2 linked regions of the Drosophila melanogaster genome follow. The protein of the gene in region 1 interacts with the protein of each later gene in a pairwise test. Each region holds a gene or a part of one and is shown on either strand. Other genes may lie near its edges. The genes, in order: COX4L and CG30089.

Region 1 (3,099 bases):
GGAAGCAATTCGAAGTATGGACCTGCAATCTGCCGCGGTAACGACACGGTTATTGCCACAATTATAGTTTTTTCTATAAGATTCCTTGTTTTTAATAAAATTTTGTTGTCCTACCTTTCAAATTATGGACGATATTCAAAACTGGGGGCGCTAATCTGATGATGCAAAACACGTGTTCAATTTTGCGCCAAAGTTAACACAAAGCAGAATAAAAGAGATAACTGTTCTTCTCTCAACCTCTTTTTTATTCTCAAAGAGAGAGGGAATATCAGTGAACAAAAAACAATAACATTGATAGATTTTCGTGCAATGGAAAATACAGATCATAAGATGAAACGGTGGCATACAGGGAGGCGCTAATCTGATGACGCGCAGTGTACGTGTACTAGTCAAAGGAACACAGGACACGATTTCAATGCTTAACATATCTATCGTGGACTAAAATTACACTAAATTAAGTTGTGTCTGAGAATTTACATACACACCCTAATTTCAAACGGGAGGAAATGCTATAGTCGAGTTACACAGCTAGAGACACAAAAATCTATAGATATTGGGTATTTGCCCGATTCAGCACGTAACGATCAAATGGCAAGCGACTTTGCTGTTGAATTGTATTTTGCTAGTTACGTTTCTGTACATAGTTTACGGAAAATCATCGTGTTGATGTGCTACTTCCACTTGTTCTCTCGGTAGCACCATTTGGACGCTAGTCCAGTTATTGGGTTCATTTGCAGCTGGATGATGCGCCGCAATTGGGCCGACTGGCGCTCATCGTTAAACGTATCCGGCAGTTTTCCATAGAGAACGGTCTTCATAGTTATCGATATCGCGATTCCGATTGACACAAGCCACAAAGCGACGCCCAGACACATCTTCCATTCGGGTGTAATGTGCTGGAATTCTGCATATGTTTGGCAGAAGCTATATCGGTATAATTGCTTCTTTTCATCCAGCGACAGCTTCTTCCAGTCGTCCAACTCCTTTTCACGTAGGGCACACAACTCTGGGCTAACCTCCCGATATCGAATAGCCGGAAAAGGGCAGTCCGGACTATCGAAGTATATGGGTCGCCCATTGATTCCATGACCAACGACCTGGCGATCGGCGACCATAAGTCGAATACCATCTCCTCCACTGGCAAACCGACGCCTCGTCATCTGGAAAAGTTTCCTCAATTTCATACAGGGAAATAAGCTCATTTCGACGGCAGTGTACCTGTAATTATGCGCAAGCACTTGGTCGTAACTGTACCTTGAGTGTATTTTATTTTATACTCGCTTTTCAATTTTTTGTTTTTTACTTCATCCGGAAATTCGACAGTTGTGTTGCTCGTGTCGAATGAAAATGAAATTTCTCTAGTCTGTTTGTTGAATACAAAAAAAAATATGACAGTTTCCTTATCTACAAACTAGATGTACTTTTTAAGTTCTGAATTGCACTCTTCGTTGAGCACTAAGATAGTCTGAAAATTTTACTTCTTCTTAAAAATTGTTTAAGGCGTGGCAAAAATTATGAAGATCAAATTTTTTGTCACAAAAAAAAAAACAAACATTTTTAAAAATGGCTGTCATGTCAGCTCAAAGAAGCTGGGTTCGGAAAAATCGAATTTTTGAAATCTAGAACTGTTTGCCCAATAATTATTTTTTTTGCCCACGTCCAGTTTTCAATATCTGAAATTTTGATAAAGTTTAAGAATCAACTAGTTGACTTTTTTCAAAAATTTTTAAATCGCAATAACATTGTTGGCCCACCCTTAAGAATTTTAAAAAAAGCTATACTTTAGAAAATATAAGACATTAAAGACAATCTCGCTCTACTTAGAGAATGAAGCATTTGCCAATCTCTTAAAAGTAAATATCATGAAAAAAAAAAACACAAAAATAAAACAATTCCGAAAACAAAAATTTTAAAAACTTTCCAAATAATTATTTAATAATTAAATTTGTAATTTGTGAAAAATTGTCGAGCTATTCTTTAGATATTTCCTATTTTTACGGTTTTTTCCCCAAATTGCCTCTTCGAAGCCGAAATCAAAATCAATCCGTCCCTCAGTGTTAATTGGCAGGTTATCATCTATATTGGCACGAACCAGAGTGGCTGCAAGGGCCACGAGAGCTATGGCCAGCGAAAAGCGACACTCATCCAGTGGCAGAGTAAGCGCAGCGCGCGGTCAAAGTGCATTTCGTCAAAACCCCGTCTATCGACTTCCTCGAACGTTTTTCCAAACTGGACATATGTTCGAGGGCTGCCGCAAGGGCTCGGTCCCGCCCAATTCACGACCCCTAGTTAAGGAATCCGAGAGGCAGAAAGAACTCTGGTCCCCATTGCGCAGAACCGAGCATACGGCGGAAGCAGAAGCATCTGGCAGATAAAAGGCCCCTTCCAGAGTCCAGTCCGTTCGGGAATCTGTTTCCATTCATAACTATGCCAGCATTCGAAATTAAAAACAAGAAATGTTTCTCGACTATTAGAGTGTGTGTTTTACCCAGCAAGTGTGAATGCGTACTCCAAATAATAAAATTAACGAAACAAAATAAACTAAAAACAATGCTTCAAAAATGTGGGCTTGGCGGTTTTGGGATGTTTTAGGGCATTAGAGTGGGCCTTTTAAAAAAGTTTTTTGGCAAATATATATAAATTACAAGACTAATAAAATTATGACAAAATATCCAAAATTTTTAAAAAAAAGTGGGAGTGGCAGCTTTAGGCGCTTTTAGGGCGTTAGAGTGGACGTGGCAACCAATTTATTTTTGCAAAACGATAGAAATTTACAAGACTAATAATAATGTAAAAAATTAATTAATTAATAATTATAAAAAAATTAATGTAAAATATAATTTTATAGTTCCTGAATCTTGACGTTCATACGGACAGACGGACATGGCCAGATCGACTCGGCTATTGATCCTGATCAAGAATATAAATACTTTATATGGTCAGAAACGCTCCCCCCCACTGCCTGTTACTTTTTAACGAATCTAGTATGCCCTTATACTCTACGAGTAACGGGTTATTAAAAAAGGGTTATTATTTGCATTTCAAATAATTCAAATACTGAAAGCTAATATAATTTCCAAAAGAAAAATACTAAAGCCT
Region 2 (3,928 bases), about 10 Mb from region 1:
CCAATTTCCCCAACTGCCACACTTTGCCATGGGGTGGGAAAGTGTGGATCTGCGGATTCCGATTCATATACAGCCATTTTCCATGCAACGCCAGCGACAGCGGCATCAAAAGGAAAAACTTCTTGCCCCAAGCAGGCGAAATCGCTTAAACCGAAGATTTTTTGCCACTGCCTCTGGTGGCTGAAAAGGGGGGCGGGGATATTGGGGTTGGATCGGCGAAAGGGGATTGGAGTTGTCCTGGCGATGCGTCTGCCGGCTGCAGGCCCTACTCCCCCACCACTGCCCTTCGACCTGCGCATATGTCATAAATGGGGTCTGGGTCCTTCGGCTCACTTGCAAGGGCAGGGTTGTAAAAGCGAAATGGAAGTGGTTAAGGGCACTGCCCTATGAAGGGGTAACACCCATCTACAATATATTCCTTTCCTTTGCTAAGAAACCTATTTGATCTTATATTTAAAACATTTTTGTTTGCTGCATATGCTGATTAAAGTTCCATGATGATTTAATCAAGTCATATGGGAGATGTAAGAAAATTTCCCTTCTTTAAAGTTTGTATGTTGCACGTTGTTTTCATTAAAATATATATAATAAATAAGTTAACTGAAAGTGTGTTTTATGGACGCTTTTACCCCAAATTCCTTGTTTATTCTTTTATCGGTCTTTCCGTGGCAAGTGCGATGCAATTGTGAGGCAGTTATAGATACGGATATCTGTCTAAGCACACGTACGCGTGTGGCTGTGTGCGTGGGCGGTTGAAAGTGCGTGTGTGTGGTTGTGTGCGTGTTTTGGGGAGGCATTCGTGCGTGTTTGTTTGGCCGCCGCATACGCTTAGGTCTTTCTATTGAAATTATTTCCATCGATGTGTTTCATGTGGCGGGCGGGGGGTTAAATTGTTTTGAAGCACGCATAAATTATGGAAAATTGTTGAATATACATAATTTATGGCTGGCAATATCAGAGTAATTCAATAAAAGGTCTGGGCTAAATTATTTATGTTCCAGCTTGATCCCGATCGAGAACCTCAAAAAAGCCCATCTTTGGGGTTTTCCAGCCAAAAAGAGACATAACAAAAATCATAAATTTGTAGCTTTAGCCGGCAGTGGCAATAATTCAATTGGAAAGTCAATAATTTATTTTCTGACCAGAGTGTCGAGAGTGAAATTAAATCTAAATTTCAATTGCCTTAACTTTGGGAATAACTCATCGATTTGTTTGTTTTCGCTGTGCTCCATTGTGGTTTTACTATCCAGCCCGTTTCCCTGCCCCTTCGGTTTTGCCGTCCCGCATTTTCCTTTTTCCATATCGGATCCCGGAGGCTGCTCACGCCTGGGCCATAAAACTTTTATATCAACTTATGTACACTTACAACGGCCATTATAACGCATTAAACATAAACGCTGTTTCATGGACCTTCCCGCTACCTCCCCTCCCTTCAGCTATCTAATTGCCAATGCCGGCAACTCACACACACTTTGGGCTTCGGACTTTGGACTCTGGACTATGGACTCTGGACTCCGACGGCCATGGCCTTCGGAAAAGCTAAGGGGGCGGTAATAAATCATTGGCGATGACTGCTGCAGCAACCTCATTGAACATTAAAATAATTGCAAAGCACAACTTGGCCAATGATTGCGCCCTGCGAGTTCATTAATGATAATTAAAAAACTTTGTCCATCAGCAGCCGGCGAAAGGCGGCTGTTCATTAGATGGATGGAGGCTGTGTCAAAGCTGTGTCGGCAATCGGTTTTAGCCCGGCTTACTAGCCTAACTAACGCTTCCGGAACAGCTGGTTGCAGGCCTTTAGGCCAAATGCAATTGCATCTCCACTTCGATTGCAGAAGTCATATTTCACGGGCCCAAAAGTAGGCAACATCCAATTGGGGCCCGATTCCCACAAGTCCTTCCGCCTCCTTCTCCAGCTGCTTTCTGCCAAATGTAAACAAACATTTTCCACACACATTTCGGTTGGTAGCGGATGCGGGACGATTTTCCTGGAAGTGAAATGCACGTGCAGATTAACAGAGCGCGGAAAAGCGTGCGCAGACTCACCAAAAAATGGCAGAGAGCGCGTGTTGAGTTTTCCAAGCCCGAGCCAAGTTAGCATTGAAAAGCCATTGTTCAGTTTCCCAGCCAGTCAGTTCGTTCGCGTTTTCCGTCGCAAAAGCCTGTGCAGTGTTTTTCCGGTCTTCAACGGGACAATTCCCAAAAGTCGTAAGAAGTGAGAAATAGCTGCGGCTTCTAAAAGTGTTTGAGAACATTAAAAGAGTTTACGAGCAGCCCAAAAACTTTGGACTCGAAAGTGATTTGTGAAACACGTTAACTAAATAAAATCACTAGCATTGAATAGTGCCAAAAGATACATATCGGAGTTTTGTTTACCTCTGGCACTACGACACTGAATGGCTTTGACATTGGCGGCACATTTGCATCCGGGCAGGTGTAAATATTCATTTCTGTAGCTGGCAAAGTTGCTGCCTGCTTTTAGCATAATTAAGCGCATCACAACGCCCCCGTCGCCGCCGCCCCTGACATTCGCAAAGGACTCGAGGTGGACAAAAAAAAACTTGGCCAGAGCCTTGAAACTTTGAAGAGCAGCCGCCAGTCAAAGCAGCTTTAAGGTCCTGTTTTGTATTTGCCCCTCACAACGGTAGGATCCGAAGGGCAGGCGAACTGCATGGTAAGTGGAGAGCACCTTTCGCTGCAGCCCTTCTTTGTTTTGACCAAGTTAGCAGCTTGTTTTTAGTTCGTTAATTGAAGCCCTAGGAGAAGTAGGAAAAACTTAAATTGAATACCGCACTTAATTATGCAGTGCACGGGCCTTGGGAATTCATCTCTTCAGTGCGGATTATTGGGGCATGCCTCAGAAGTCAATCCGCAGCACTGATACTCCAGCTTTCCCTAACAAATCTCCCAACTACAAAAGTAATCTCTCTATCACAATTTCTCTGTTCCTTGCCTCGCTTCAAAATCGAAACGAAACTTGAATGGCTTAAGTGATTTAGCAACTCGATCGCATTCGTTTGCGCATTTCGATGCCAGAGCAGTGAGAAAAAATAGTACAGAATTAAAAGCAAAATTAAATTAAAGCATGAAATAATATTTTACTAAATTTAGTTTGTTTTGAGCAACCTGTCTGCTGGTTTTGTGTCAATGCAATTTTAAAATGATTGAAACATACAACGATTTGAAATACGTAATACTGTGTTTTCTGAACTATTAAGTAAACCAATCTATATGTGTTAGTGCTCTTTATTAATGTAAACTTTCATCATATAAAATAAAAGTATTAAGGCCACTTTTAAAGTTTACTTTTATTTCCTTAAATACTATTTTTCCCACAGTGCATTAACTGACACGATTTTTTCCTATATCGAATACGGGTCGGGATGCGTTGCCTACTTTCGGGCACTGGGAAAAACTTTTTAAGTGCCAAAGCAAAAGGCGCCGAATGCCGAATTAAATTAAAAATGGGAAGGCACAAGAAGTGGAATATCGGCTCGTGTGCAAATAACAGAGAAGGGAACCCGGCTTCAAATTCAATTTGAGGAGTATACTCTCCGCTTTCCCTTTCCTTTGCCACCATCCCCTCCGCTCGATCCCTAAGAACTCCTGCCCCGCCAACAATAGTTAAGCGGAAATGTAAGTCCCTGGGGGCACAGGCATCACGGAGCCTTGGAAGTGTGTCAAAGTACGTAAAGCTGAGACGAAGGAATCAATCGAATCGAATTGGATGGATTCGCAAGGAAGTGGCGGCGAAGGCGTAGCGAAAACCAAACAGCCACGGGCCATAAAAATGGGCCAAAATGAGCGGGTGAGACGTCAAAAGAAATTGAAATGGAACTCAAGCAAAAACTACTTTGTTTGCGATTAGCACTTGGCCGGATTATGGGCCAGAGGGGAGATGGTGGCCTCCACTCGAAGGACTGCC

The links.
Region 2: the proteins of COX4L (region 1) and CG30089 interact in a two-hybrid assay, tested with the Drosophila melanogaster proteins (one large-scale study listed by BioGRID).

The regions. Positions count from the first base shown.
Region 1 is NT_033778.4:5,352,228-5,355,326, reverse strand, and holds COX4L (cytochrome c oxidase subunit 4-like), read right to left. Parts: upstream 1,334-3,099; 5' UTR 1,282-1,333; exon of another isoform or gene 1,219-1,281; 5' UTR 1,203-1,218; coding exon 672-1,202; 3' UTR 604-671; downstream 1-603.
Region 2 is NT_033778.4:15,725,250-15,729,177, forward strand, and holds the start of CG30089 (uncharacterized protein), read left to right. Parts: upstream 1-2,131; 5' UTR 2,132-2,677; intron 2,678-3,928.